2 linked regions of the Tamandua tetradactyla genome follow. The protein of the gene in region 2 binds, or shares a complex with, the protein of the main gene of each other region. Links are inferred from orthologs where the notes say so. Each region holds a gene or a part of one and is shown on either strand. Other genes may lie near its edges.

The links.
Region 1: INTS4 (region 2) and INTS6 share a complex: the UniProt entries of both Homo sapiens proteins name them as parts of the integrator complex. The link is inferred for Tamandua tetradactyla from reciprocal best matches to the Homo sapiens genes INTS4 and INTS6.

The regions. Positions count from the first base shown.
Region 1 is NC_135330.1:104,750,123-104,757,601, reverse strand, and holds the start of INTS6 (integrator complex subunit 6), read left to right. Parts: upstream 1-4,309; 5' UTR 4,310-4,384; coding exon 4,385-4,495; exon of another isoform or gene 4,496-4,567; intron 4,568-4,803; coding exon 4,804-4,881; intron 4,882-5,624; coding exon 5,625-5,774; intron 5,775-7,479. UniProt on the Homo sapiens protein: Component of the integrator complex, a multiprotein complex that terminates RNA polymerase II (Pol II) transcription in the promoter-proximal region of genes.
Region 2 is NC_135334.1:66,678,884-66,686,713, forward strand, and holds the start of INTS4 (integrator complex subunit 4), read left to right. Parts: upstream 1-4,804; 5' UTR 4,805-4,904; coding exon 4,905-4,958; intron 4,959-7,830. UniProt on the Homo sapiens protein: Component of the integrator complex, a multiprotein complex that terminates RNA polymerase II (Pol II) transcription in the promoter-proximal region of genes.

The sequences.
Region 1 (7,479 bases), on a different chromosome or scaffold from region 2:
CATCAAACTCATAGAATGGGTGCCAATAGTTTGGAAGAAAACACCAGAGAAAACAGAGGAGCATTTTTTTAAAAAAATGCTGTATCTCTAACACTCGTGTCGATGGAGTTCAATAGAGTGTGGAAAAATTCTAAGTGACAAGAAAGCATTGTATCATAGTTTAATTAGCAGCATTTTTTGTCTCTGTTAATGGCCCCAAAATAGTGGTGATAGTGTATTAGAATTGATGAAATATGGATGTTACCTTGAATTTTCAAAACAACCCTGTATGGCAGGCATTATTATATCATGCCTGGAGTCTGCTGAATCCCATACTATTTATTCTCATTTCTTGTTTATTGGTCTTTGTTCTTTCCCTTTAGGTCATAAGTTCTCTGCGGGTCTAGCACAGTGCCCGTCACATATCAGGTATGCAATTAACAATAGCTGAAAGACTGACTGCAATTTCCTGTTCTTTTGCTAGAAAAACAGTTCCCCTGTGACTCCCTTCTCAATCTGAGTATGTTTATTTACAGGGCTGATTTTGAATGATCTGAGACTTCAACTCTTACTGTGAAACACTGCTCCTTGGAATTTCTTTTTAATAGTAGTCCTTAGCAGCATTTTTCTGAGGACTGATAGTATGTAATATTGGGATTACCAAAATAAAATTTCCTTATGTATGTATTACCTGACTACACTGGATGTAGTTTCACATCTAATTGTTTATGCTTATCACTTCTATATGTTTCTTTGATGTTCTCAATCTTTAAACATCATTGACTAAGGTCATCTCACACAGGTTAGAAGACAGAAGCCACAGCATTGGTGTGCTAGCCAGAAGAGACTTGGTTAGGTTACATATTGAGGAACACTAGGTTCATCTGATTATTATGTTCAGATGTCATGCCCAGATACCAGAAACCGAGTCATTGGCACATAATTATTTTTAAACCGTGTTACCCTGCTTAATTGGTTTAAAATAATTTAAAAGAGCTCTGGTTGGCTCCTACAAATGTATCTAATTCATCAGTTCTTAATTCTGTTAGAATAGCTCCATTTCAACCATTTAAGCCGTTGTCTGGCCCAGAGTCACCATTATTTCAGCAGTTCCTGTACAATTTATTCGCTCCCTTTTAAACTGGGGCCAGAGCATTTGAACAACACTCCTTTAAAAACAGTAGCAGAGAGCACTTTTTCTCCACCATATCTCTTCTGACCAGTGCTTTCTCAGGAACATTTTCCTTGATCTTCTAACCACAACAGGAAACAGGACTGGGCACAGAGACTCCTAACTGGTTCTTCCTCTAGCACTAAAATGCTGGTTCTTCAGTTGAATCTCAGGTGAAATAATTGGCTTGAATTCAGGGGCCACATTTTAGAAAAACAATCTTGCATTATCTTTCTATAACCACATGTTAGAATCACAGGTAGCCTCATGGCTCCCATCTCATGCTCACTCCAGGACCTATGCTCACTGAAGGAGACAGTGGGGATCTCTGGCACGGCTTAAATGACTTTTCTCTTTATTTTTTGCCAAAATATATATAGTTGAATTAAAAAAAAATTAAATAAGCCTCTGCCAAAAATATATTAAATATATTGTGTTAAATATATTGGTGACCACATTCATAGTCTTCCCTTTAGCTGGCAGGGTTGTTTATTTTAGGAGTCCTTGCAAAAATGCAATAAATCTAAGGGTGTTTGAATGTTTTAGTTATTTGTACCTACTAGATGTCAGACACATACTTTTTATACTTTAAGCATGCAGTTCTCAATCACTATTATTTATAAGATTCACATGAAGAGTTTTTCAAAATGTGGACGACCAGGGCCCATTCCAGTTCTACTCTATCAATCACTTTCCTCTGGGGATGGCAAGCTGGTATATTTATTGTCATTACTTTAAGCTCTATATGTGAGGCTGATGTGCATTTCCTGGCTAAGAATCATTGCTTTAAACCATTGTCAACCTGTGCTTTAACTGTCAACCAAATGAGTCACTAAGAATAAACTTGACCTATTTCATAATTTTGTCTAGGGTCTGCCAGTCAATGCTTCCTGGCTTCTGATTGCCTCTTGATTTGCTACCTATGCTTGTTCGGATTTCTTCCTTTTTCTCCCGCCCCCCCCCCCCCCCCCCCCCCACCCCGACCTTTCTGGACATTGCTTCTGGACCAAACACTGGCCTTTGGTTTCAGGCTCCATTTCTGGCATAGGTTCTGGTTACCTGTTTTGGGTTTGGCTGATTGCACTTAGCTTTCCTGCGATTTGCAGAGCTGTTTATACCACACTTATCATTTGGGTTTAGTAATAGTTTTTAATGTGTATGTCATATTTTCCTAGAAAACCTTAAACTCTGAAGGGAGGGCCCCCGTGCTTCATTCCTCTTTTTTTCACTCTCCATCATACCTAGCTCACAGTAGGTCTTCAGCAAAGTGGCTGAACAAACTGCTTAAAGACCTGTATTCCATACCCTTTCTACTTCATAGTCCAAATTCCTTACAAATATCACACTTCTATGGGAGGTACTCACAAAACACCCTATCTACTGAAATAGTCCTACTACAAATTAGCACAAAGTTTCAGAGCATATCTTAAATACTAGGAAAATTCCAAGTTGTGAAACTCACAGATTTTTAAAATGTGACACAAAGTATCTCTTCTCTGCTGACATTAATTGGGACAATTTCTCTAAATGACCGATAGGCAAATATCAAGAATCTCAGAATATTAAAAAAAAAATCACATTTAACATGAGTAGGAAAGTTTCTATAAATAACGACAAAGGCTTATAAGAGCCCTGTGCTCCTAATTCTACCTGTATCTAAGGCAATGTGGCCAGTTCTTCCACTGCAGTAAATTGAGGACACATTACTCCAGGTGAAACGACAGGGGCTTGTTTTAATAGTCTGAAAGGTAGCACGTAGTGGGAGGAAAGAGCTGGGGAAGGGTGATCAGGATCCACTCGGTGCATTCTCGGCTGCCTGGGCAAGGTGAAGTCAGTTTTCCACTTGGAAAGGAAAGGTAATGGGTCATGGCCACCGAGGGCCCTTTCAGCTCTCAAGGCTGGATATCCTAAGGCCCCTTGTAAACTCGACGTGAGAAAGGCATTTCTTCCGCTAGGCCCAGTCAATCTTGCCCCCAGAGTAAAAAGGCAGCAAGCGGCTGACGGATATTTTTATCTTCCCCCATGCCCTTCGGTGGTCTTTTCCTTCTGGCCCCCCGCGGAGGGCACCCGGCCTGCCCCGGCCCCAGCCTCGGCGGCTCCCCTGCAGGCCTGGCCCTGGGTCCGCACTCCCTAGCGAGGTGGCTAGTCCCTGGTCATAAACAACCCCTCCTCCCCCTCCCGGACCCGCCCGCGCCGGGGCCGCCCCCCACGCCCCGCGCCCAGTGCACCGCCTCTCGCTGCACAGTGACCCGCGTGCACTTTGCTCGTCCCTTCAGCACTCGCCCACCGGGTAGGGGTGCGCCACAGAGACCTCCAGAAGAGGCCGAGGCCAGGCTCCCTCCCCCTCCCCCCGACCCCGATCACCTCCACCAGCCCAGAAGAGGCCGGAGGCCCTGACGCGCAGGCGCAAAGCGCGCCCGCCCCTCCCCCACGCCGCGGCCCTTCCGCGGCCCGGCCCCGCCCCTTCCCGGAGCCCGCCTCCGCGCCGGCAGGCCCGCCCGCCCGCCCCTCGCGCTCGCGCTCGCGCGCCCCCGACGCCCCGCCTCCGCGCGTGCTCAGTAACCGTCCCCAAAGCTGGCCTCCAAGCTTCCCCCGCCCCTGAGCTGTTTGAATATGCTAATGAGAGTCTAGGGGCTAGCCAATACGAGGGCGGGGCGGCGCGTCACGTGGCCAGGGGACGTGTCCGGGGGGCGGAGCCTCTGCAGCCCCTGCCCGAGTTAAAACCGGAGTGTGCGAGAGAAAAGCGCTTCAGTAGCGAGAGGGGCTGAGAAAGTGGTGATACCGCTGGGGTGCGGAGGGAGTCCCTGAAACTTCTCCCAACAGCCCCAGGGCCAATCTCCCCTCAGCCCACTCCCCTCTCCGCCAGCTCCCAGGTCCCCACTCCCTGCAACCGGGGGTGGGGTGGGGAGTCGGGCCCGTCTCCCGCTGGGACACACACAGGGGCCGGGAGCGGGGACGGGACCCCCAAGGCGGGGGGGTACGGACCGACAGACAGACGGCCGGGCGCCCGGCCCAGCGGGCAGGCAGGCAGGCGGGCGGAGGCGGAGGCGGGGGTGGACGGGGACGATTGGGTCTGGGGAGTTTCCTCTCAACTATCGGGGGAGAAACTCCCCGCAGCCGGAGGGAAGACCCAGACGGTGTTTTCCTCCCGGGGGCCGCGCGCCGCCGCCGCCCCCGGCGCCTCCGCCGCTGCCATCTCTGCCTCGGCCGGCCGCGGTGTCCCCGGCCAGCACTATGCCCATCTTACTGTTCCTGATAGACACGTCTGCCTCTATGAACCAGCGCAGCCATCTGGGCACCACCTACCTGGACACGGCCAAAGGCGCGGTAGAGACCTTCATGAAGGTACCGACGGAGCGAGCCCGGGCGGCGATCCCGGCCCGGCGGCCCGCGGGGGGCAGGGCGGTGGGGGCGGTGGGGGCGACGGGCCGCGGGGCCGGGGACCCGGCTGCGGGAGCCGCGGGGCCCCTCCCCCACCGCGCGGGCGGGCGGGCGGCGGGCGCTGCGAGCGGGGCTCGGCCGCGGGCGGGGTGCGGGGCCCTTGGGGTGTGGGGGCGGCGTGGGGGGGTGCTGCGTGTGCGGTACTGGGGAGGTGGTGGGGGGATGCGGCGCGGGGACCCTGGCCTGCGTGCTTCCCTCCCGCTCTCCCGCAGCTCCGCGCCCGGGACCCCGCCAGCCGCGGAGACAGGTACATGCTGGTCACTTTCGAAGAGCCGCCCTATGCCATCAAGGTAACAGCCCTCGGCCTCCCCCCCCTCTTGGTGTCGGCTCCGCGCCCTCCCCGCTCCCCCCTCGCTGTCCTCGCGCCCCTCCCCCACCCGCGGGTCTCCGGGCGACTCCCCCGCGGGCCCCCTCCCCCGCCTCGGGTCGCGCGGCGCGGCGCCGAGCCGCCCGCCACCGCCGCCCCCTCCCCGGCGCGGCCCGCGGCGCTGCGCTCAACATGGCCGACATTTCCCCTCCGCGGCGCGGCGGCAGCAATGAACTGTGGGGGATATTCTTCCCAGCGGCCCGGGTGACAGCGGCCCGCCGCGCCCCGCTGGCCCCGGCCGGGAGCCCAGGCGTCCAGGCGGCGGTCGGCACGGGTCAGGCTCCAGCCGGGGGCGCCTGCGGGACGGGGGGCTGCAGAGCCGCCCCCGGAGGGCCCTAGCCTGGCCCGGGCCGCCGGGCAGCTCGAGGTCAGCCGGCGAGGGTCCTCTTCCCTCCAGAACCTTCGCACCCCGCGCCTTGGGGTGTTAGATCAGGTAGTCTACTTCCCAGCCAAGTGACAGAGTGCGGAGGCAGCTGGCCACCCCACCCCGGGAGCAAGCGGCTCCTGTTCTTGGCCACCTTTGGAGGAGAGTTTCCCCAGTTGGGATACAGTATATAAAACAAGTTAACCAGACCATACTGTCAAGAAAAAGAGGCCACTTGGTGAACATCAGATTATAATGGCTGTCCCCAAGACGAAAAAATATTCTTAAATTTTTCTTTTCAGGCTGGATGGAAAGAGAACCATGCAACGTTTATGAATGAACTGAAAAACCTTCAGGCTGAAGGACTTACGACTCTTGGCCAGTCCCTAAGAACAGCTTTTGATTTGTTAAATTTAAATAGATTAGTAACTGGCATAGACAACTATGGGCAGGTAGGTTGAATATTAAGGTGGAAAAATAGTTGATTTTTTCATGCTGTGGGAAAACACATTCCACTCCAAAATCCATATGACCTGAAATAGAAGTATGAAACATTTTAGGTGAAAACTTAAGCTGAAGTAAGTTTAAAACATATAGTAACACGTACTACAAAGGTGAAACTCTCACCTTACTGTTCACGGTTTTGTAGCCCTCTTTTTTTTTGTTCTAACAGTGCATTTGTATTCAGAATTAGAATCTGATTTTTTCTGTAAGTTACGTGTTATGAATTTGGTCTTAATCCCTTGAAGTTCATAAAAGAAGAAACCTGTCTGGTCTTACCCCGTTGCATTGATACCCTACCACAGGCAGATGGGCAACCCTTAGTGGTTGTGGAGTAGTGCTATTTATTTCTATATTAGTAAAAATGTTAGAGGAAATGCAAAAGGGTTTAATTTAATCCTCTGACATAGCAATTCTGAAAGGGTTCTCATTGAGGTACAATGACTGGTTTGGCACATTAAGATTTCTCAGCTTTTGAAGGATACACCATTAGTGACTATTGCAGGGGGATTCTGAATTAAATGGCAGGTCTAGAGGTGTTTTTCTTTGGGGGTGGTGGTGTTTTTTTTTTCAAAACTCCAAACCCTTGGAAAAGAGGCTGTCTGAAAAAATATGAAAGGAACCCTATCTTAACCCCCCCCACAAGTCCGTCTGTTGTACCTGCATTTCTTCATTTGAGGATGACATAAGGTTTCCCACAGAGCCTTAAATCATTTGATGATTCACTATGAAATAATCTAGGTGGTCCTTTATAACTCTTATATGAGATTGCTGGCCTGGAAAATAAAAGATACTGAAGAATGTGTGATGTTGCACATAAGAAAGGAATATTAAACCCAAGGACTTATGATGTAGTGTAAAGCACTATTACCACAATGATACATTTAGTTATACATTACATCTGATCTTTTCCCACGTTCCATGAGCCACAGATTTCATAAGTATCACAGGGAAATTCTTTCTGTGACTGCAACTTTGAACTGTTCCTTTCTTTTAGAAATGTTTGTTTTACTTAATACTGATAACTTGAGTGTTTAAGGACCTTTGCAAATGGCTGATTTTAGTTCAGTGACCTTTAAAGTGTGCATTGCAATGCAGTCACTTCTGCTTTTACCAAATTGCAGGTCATTTAAGTATATGTGTATTTTCTTACCACATTATAGTTTTATTCCACCCCCCTTCATTTCACACCTTTCAGTAATTTAGGCAGATTTGCCATGCCATGAACTTTTTAGTTTGTTTCTATAAAATAATGGGTTTCTTTCCTTTGCTATTTGTAAAGGTGAGGTATCTTATGCTTACATTATAGTTGAAACTTTATTTTTGAAATCAAAGAAAAATGTGAAACTTTCCATTGTTTGGTTATCCTTATTTTTTGGTTAGTATGTAGCAGAACTATTAATTTCCTGTTTTCCACCATCACAATCCTTAAGTGGAAAAGTTCACCAATACTAGCTATTAAGAATATTGTTTAGTTGCTTTCTTAGGAATCCTGATTGTTGTGGAGAAGTTGTGGGCATTTATAACTTAAATGTATGTTTTCCTTTTCCCAGTTGTCATTTTCCATGGAAGAACACTTTAAAGCTTGCAGAAAGTTTAAGGTCAAAGTTAGCTCTGCTGTGCTTTACCACTTTGACGGAGAGAAAAGCCTGGATA
Region 2 (7,830 bases):
AACTTCTTCCTGCAGCCACATATCTAACAATGATAATAGTGGATATCCACTGCTAAGATACATATTTAACATGCCTGAAATCAGAATGCATCTTAAAATTGCTGGTGGCCAGTTGCTCATGTGCAAACTGGGACATAGCGGTTCACGCTGCCATCACTACATCTGAGCTCTGTGCATTTTTGGTTCTGTGTGGTCTTTAATTGTCACAAATTACCTTTATAGAGATTATCCTATAATTTGGCATTGGAGCAAAAGGCTTGGAAACACAGCAGAATAACATATGATGTAAATCTATGTAAGTAAGTTTAATAGAGCCCTTTCAGTGAGTGTTTATAAATCTAAGTAATAAAAAACATTTGATTTTTTTTTTTTTTTGCATGGGCAGGCACCAGGAATCAAACCTGGTTCTCCAGCACGGCAGGTGAGAATTCTGCCTGCTGAGCCATTGTGGCCTACCCGAAACCCTTGATTTTTAAAAACTTTTTATTGTTTAATATAACATATATACAAAGAAAAGAAAGGAAATGAAATGATTTTCAATCTTTCAATTTCTTCTTTTTGTTCATTCCTTGCCTTCTTTATATCCTCCCTCAATTCACTGATTTGGTTTTTGATGAGGTTTTCCATGTCTGTTTGTATATTCTGAATTAATTGTTTCAGCTCCTGTATGTCATTTGAATTGTTGGTTTGTTCCTTTGACTGGGCCATATCTTCAATTTTCCTAGTGTAATTTGTTATTTTTTGCTGGTGTCTAGGCATTTAATTACCTTAATTAGTTTATTCTGGAGATTGCTTTCACTTCTTTTACCTAGGATTTTCTTGCTGGATGAATTTGTTGTCTATCTGTTCTTTGACATTCAGTTCAGCTTAATCTGGACCTCTAGCTTAAGTTTTGTTTAACAGAGGAGAATTTTTCAGTTCTTGTTTTCTTGATTCTTGCCCTGCTTGTATGGTGCCTTTTTCCCCCCACACTTAGGAAGGAAACTTAGGTATTATAGACCCCAGCCGGATTTTCCCAAACCAAACTGGCCTCCTATCAGGAGGGAAGACTCATCTGTGTCGGTTTTCCCTGAGGGTGAGACCCAGCAGGTTCAAAGATTTTCCTGTGAAGTCTCTGGACTCTGTTTTTCTTATACTGCCCAGTATGTGGCACCGGTCTACCTGCAGATCCCACCAACGTAAGATGATGCTGTACCTTTAACTTTGGCAGACTCTCCCTGCTGGCGGAGTGGTAGAGACAGAGGAGGGGTTGTAGGCTGGTTTTAATGGCTTCAAATTAACAAGCCCTGGTATCTAAATTCCTTGAGGGAGGGATTCCACCTGAGTTGGGCTTCACCCCTCCCCTGGGGAAGATACAGTCTTCAGACAAGCCCTCAAATGAGCTTGTTTCTGCCTATGCCTGGGGCAGTTGCAGCCTGAGAAGCCCTGCCGCTGTATCCAAAGGCAGCCAAGCCTCCATAGAGACACAGCCACAAAAACCTCTGTTTCCTTCCTTTTTTTTTTTTGCTTTTTCCGTCAGCCCTGCCCCCTTGGTGCTGGGGCAAAAATGAGTGACCTCTGCTTTGACCAGGTTCACTGGAGCTGGGAGCCTATTTTTAGTAGTCAGAATTTGTTAATTAATTCCACAATTGGTGTTTGGTTGGGCTCAGCCTCTGCTGCTGGTAAAGTCTCTTTCCTTTCCCCTCTGGGAAGCAGCCTGTGGGGGTGGGTCGCCAGCCGCTGTGGCTTGGCGAACTCACGGTTCTGGGGGTCTTGCAGCCAGTCCAGCTGGTCCAGACTGGGGTATGCTGTGTGTCCGGTCACTGACGTGGCCCCAGGAGCTGTTCTCTGAAGTGATTTTCAAAGTACACTTCAACAAGTAGTTACAGAAGAGATTTCAGAGTTTATTATGGGTCGCCATTTCACTATTACAGACTTTTCCTTCTAGTTGCTCCAAAACACTGGAGGCTAGGAGAAATATATATATATATATACATACATATATGTATATTTTGTGAGTGTGAAAAATAACATATAGACAAAACAATAAATTTCAAAGCACATCACAACAATTAGTTGTAGAACAGATTTCAGAGTTTGGTACGGGTTACAGTTTTAAGTTGTTAACTTCTAGGTGTTCTAAGATATTGGAGACTAAAAGAAATATAATTCAGCAATCATACTGGTTTGATAAATCCTACCTTCTTTATATAACTCTACCATCACCTTTGACCTTTCTTCCACTCTTTAGGGTTATTTGGCCTATTGCCCATTCTAACTTTCTCTTGTTAGAAGTGGCTGTCAATAATATGGGATAGGGGGATGGAACTAGTTGATGCTCTGGAGAAGCTGGCCCCTCTGCATTTCAGTGCTTATCTGGTTCGGGGACCCATCTGAAAATTTTAGGTTTTTGGAAAGTTACTGTAGGGCATGGAAGCTTTGTAGAATTTATATGGTGCCCTAGGCATTCTTTAGGATTGGCAGGAATGGTTTGGTTGGGGGTTGGCAAGTTATGGTAGGTAGCAATGTCTAACCGAAGCTTGCGTATGAGCAACCTTCAGAGTAGCCTCTCTACTCTATTTGAACTCTCTCAGCCACTTATACCTTATTTGTTACACTTTTCCCCCTTTTAGTCAGGATGGTATTGTTGATCCCAGGCCATCAGGGAAGCTTTCATCCCTGGATGTCATGTCCTGTCTAGGTGGGGAGGGCAATGATTTCACTTGCACTGTTGGGCTTAGAGAGAGTGAGGCCACATCTGAGCAACAAAAGAAGTCCTCCAGGAATAACTCTTAGGCATACCTATAGGTAGGCTAGCTTCTCTGCTATATATAGAAGCTTCATAAGAGTAAGCCTCAAGACCAAAGGTATAGCCTACTGATTTGGGTGTCCCTAATTTTTCATACAGTATCAGGGGTTTCCCTGGTGGTAAAGTTTAATAGTTCCATATTTTTCCTCCCATTCCTCAAGGACTTTGCCAATACTTTTTTGATTATCTGCTTAACATCCTCTGGGATGTAGTCAGGCATTACATTAAGCTATATAGGATTAAAGGCCCTCATTCTTTTTCTGAAGAAACTCTTGATTTTAATTTCAGCATTTTTTCTTATTGCATTACATAAAATAATTGTTTTATATTTGCCAGCAGCTTAAATATGATTGAGCATGGTAATGACAATGATAATAGCAGCTAACATTTATTGAGGGAAATTTTCCTAACTGCTTTTCATTTCACTTGATGCTTTTGTATTTGCTACAGTCTGTCTTTGCTGTTTGGATGTCTTTCTCACTGGAAAACTAAATCATTTACAGACAGATTTAAAACAATCTCCTTGTGGGGGTACCATGAGGAAGTCCATTTTTGAGCCACATTCCTCTATTACCCAGCACGCTTCCTGTGCCAGTTTGAATCTGTTCAACCGTACCCCAGAAAAGCCAAGTTCTTTAATCCTCATTCAGTATTGCTGGGTCAGAGCTTATTGATTATCCGTGGAGATAATACCCACCCATTTGTGGGTAGTAACTTTGATTAGATGGTTTCCATGGTGATGTGTCTCCACGCATTCAAGGTGGGGTTTGCTTACTACAGCCCTTTAAAAGGGAACCATTTTGGAAAAAAGCTTTAGAACCCAGGCAGCCAGAGACCTTTAGAGATGAAGAAGGAAAATGCCCCTAGGGGCACTTCATGAAACAAAAAGCTTGGAGAGAATGCTAGCAGACTTTGCCATGTTCACCATGTGCCTTTCCAATTGAGAGAGAAACCCGGAACTTCATTGGCCCTCTTGAACCAAGGTATCTTTCCATGGATGCCTTAGATTGGACATTTTTACTGCAAACTTGCAACTGAAAAAATTCCCCTTTTAAAAAGTCGTTCCATTTTAGGTATATTGCTGCATTCTGGCAGCTTTTAAACTAGTACACTTCCCTTGCACTGTAATGATCAATTTGAATATCTTTCTCCCTTAACAGTCTTTGAGGATAAAGAGTATCTTTTATGCACTTTTGGGTCCTCTCTACCACAGTGTTCTACTTTTTTCTAATTATCTTACATTAATTCTTTTTTGAAGAACAATGAACAGCTAACTTTTCATGTAGGATGCAAAGCTTGACCTTGAATTAACATTATTAAACGTGAACTCCATTTCACGATCTGCAGAACGTTTCCACATATTTCACTTTATTGTCCCTACATCTTTGTTAGGGTAGGTATTATTAGTGCATTGGGCATTTATGCAACGTTGAGACCACGGAGGTCACTTGTTTATCAAGTCCTGGTGTGAAGCCTTGGCCTCAGGGATTTTTTTCCCACTCTATTGCAGCTATCAGAGGTGGGATTGATTCCTTAAAATTTGGACAGTTTTGAACAACTGGAGTGAGGAAGCAGGAAGAAGTATTCCAGAACAGGGCAGGTGTGTCTCACGGGTTGAACGAAGGAAGACTTCGGGGAAGCCACAAACAGCAAAGGATGATGGGAATGTCAGGTAGGCCTTCTTCCGCTATTTTGCGATTTAAAATTCCTACGCAGCTCCAAGTTTTACCTCTGGCTCAGGATCGCCTCGCCATTTTCTCTTTAGTCTCTATTTCCTCCCTCTCTTTGCTCTGCTGGGCGCCAGTCTCCCACCACTACTACAGCAGCATCAAACCCGCGAAACACCAAGTGGCTTCTCCACACTTCTCCACCTTCCGCCAGAGGCCCCACCCTCGCCGCGCTACGCCGTGGTTTTCGTTCGCCCGGCGCAAGAGGCACAGGCAGCCAAAACTGAATGCACAGAGGCGGAGCAGCCGAGTAGCAGGAAGCGGCCTCTTATTCCCGGAACCCCGTTGGTTTGTGGGATAGCGGTGGGTTCCTCCCGCCTTGGCAGGTTTTCTGTGTTCCTTCACCCCGCCTCCCGCAGGGACTACGCAAGCTGACCCCGTGGGCAATCATGGCGGCGCACCTTAAGAAGCGAGTGTACGAGGAATTCACTAAAGTGGTTCAGGTAAGCGCCCCTAGGAAAGGTCGCCGCACAGGTCCGGAACGGGAAAGTCATCCCGGCCTCTGCCACTTTGCCGAAACAGACGGCAACAGCGTGAGTTGAGTGCCGAGGGAATGATCAGCTCCCACATTACGGAAAGTATTAGTTTCTTACTACTGTCTGTTAGTGTTTTCTACTACTGTCTATTAGTATTGCAAACCAATATGGGTAGTCTGATACTTTTTTTTTTTAATTTTTAGGAAGAAATAAGTAGTGCTTTTCAGCTTACTAAACTTGCCTTATTTGTTATGACATTTTGTTCTATCATACAGTCTTGCTAGTTCAGGTTACATATCGTCCTCTTTTTACAGATGTGGACATTTAGGGTTCGAGGACGCGACGAATTAGTAACATAGCCCCTCCCAAATCCCGTTCCCAGAAAAGTCATCCAGGGACGATGTGGCTATCTGCAAGGCTCTCAGGGACTGGAAGAGGGGTCTGTGGAGTTCGTTTAGACCCACAGGTGAAAGCAGGCGAGGATCACAGTCTTCATAACAATGGAACTCTCGGTTCTTGGAATAGCTTTGCCTTAGACGGGAGAGTGATCCCTTCCTCTGTTGTAGTTAAGAACAGAGGGGCTGAGGCCCTGCAAGAGAGCCCTCAGTGATTCTCCATGTGTCTTCACATGCCTCTCAGTAGAGGCTGATGGCAAATCATCCTTAGTTACTACTTCTCAAACTTGAGTGTGTATAGCAATGACTTGGAGATCTTGTTTTTTTCTTAAGGTAGTATTGTGAGATATATATTCACATACCATATAATCATCCAAAGTGTACAATTAGTGGTTCACAGTATCATTATATAGCTGTGCATTCATCATCACAATCGAGTTTTGAACATTTTTATTACTCAAAAAAAATAAAATAAAAATAAGAGTGAAAATAAAAGTAAAAAAGAATACCCCAAATATCCCATATCCCCATTCCCCCCATTATTTATTTATTCTTTATCTTATTTTTTTACTCAATTGTTCCTATACTGAATAAAGGGATTGTCAGTAACAAGGTTTTCACAATCACACAGTCACATCTTAAAAGCTTTATAGTTATACAGTCATCTTTAGGAATCAAGACTATTGGATTACAGTTCACCAGTATTAGGTATTTCCCTCTAGCTACTCCAGTACACCAAAAATCGAAGCTACATATTGCATAAGAATAACCTCCAGAATGACCTCTCAGCTCTATTTGAAATCTCTCTGCTACTGAAAGTTTATTTTTGTTTAATCTCTCTTCTCCCTTTTGGTCAAGAAGACATTCTCACTACCTTGATGCCAGTGCCAGACTCATCCCTTGGAGTCATCTCCCACATTACCAGGGAGATTTACACCCTTGGGAGTCATGTCCCATGTAGTGGGGAGGGCAGTGAGTTCATCTGCAGAATCGATTTAGAGAGAGCGAGAGGCCACATCTGAGCAACGAAAGATGTTTTCTGTGGGTGACTCTTAGGCATAATCATAAGTAGGCTTAGCTTCTCCTTTGTAGGAATAAGTTTCATAAAGGCAAGCCCAAGATTGAGAGCCTGGCCCATCAAATTGGCAGTCCCCAGTGCTTGCAAAAATATCAGGTCTTCCCCGGGTGGGGAAGTTGAATATTTCCACCTTTTCCCTCAATCCCTCAAGGAGATGTTCTGTCCAGATTACTCTGGGATGTATCTAACAGCACACTAACTGTACAAACCAAGAAGGTCTTACTCCCTATTCAAGATTCCTTGTAATTATGGTGTTTGAATAAGCTGACCATACAAGTTAAATTAGATAGTGTGCTACTGAAAATATAAATTTGTACCAAATAAACATCTCTTCCTTTGGTGTCACAGAGAGGCTGAAGTTTTAATAGCACTCTGTTAAAGAGTTTCATAGCACTCTATTATAGTTATCTACTTATTGCTTGGTACTGTAATTACCAGTGTAGTATCGCCTTACAAGTCTGGGCTCCTTGAGGGCAGAGATAATGCCAGGCTCATTGCTCTGGAGGGACCACAGTGCCTGCCTCACTAAAATATTATTGATGGTTAAATGACAGCAGATTCTGATTTGTCCTCCCCCTTACATAGTTTCTTAGGGAAAAAAAATCTTTCCAAATTTGAACTAACTGCAGCCTAGAAACACTGGATTTGTGTATAATAAAGCAGGAATGGGTAAGGATTTTAGGGGAAGAGCTTATTTCTTCACTTCAGTCTGCATGAGTGGTTACTGTAGGGAAGAAATGATATCTTAGTGCTTCTGTTCTTACTCTGCTGTGAAGATGAGGGAGAACAGATATGTATCTAGCACATATTAATTGTACAATAAAGTCGTTATAATTTAGACTGTCAAATATCCCAATTATATAGGTATTGGCATTCCCTTTTAGGGAAGGAGAAGGCTTTTCCCACCTTTTAAATGGTTATTGAGTCCAAATTCCCCTGGTCATTCCAAAGTGCTCCTTTTTTTTTTTTTTTAATCATACTATAGTATAATAGTCCTTATCTCTGTAGCAGTGTGATTTTTTTAAGGAGGTGATTGCTCAGGACCTTAGAATAATTTATTAGAATTAATGAAAATTACTGATTACAACTTTTATGTTATCCTAGGATTTTTGTATATACCTACTCCACAGGGCGTGATTTATGCTCTGGAGTGATAGTTCCCTTTTACATGAACTTTCTCACATTCGTTGTATGTAATGACTGCATCTACAGTGTTTCTAATTATGTACCATCCTTAGGAAAATTGAGAAAATAGTTACTCAAATAATTTTCTGTGTTTTGAGATTTATATGAGAAGCCCTGATTGAGAAGGGCTGGTGGTAGATATCATCATTCCTGTGTTACAGATGCGAAGACTGAGACCCAT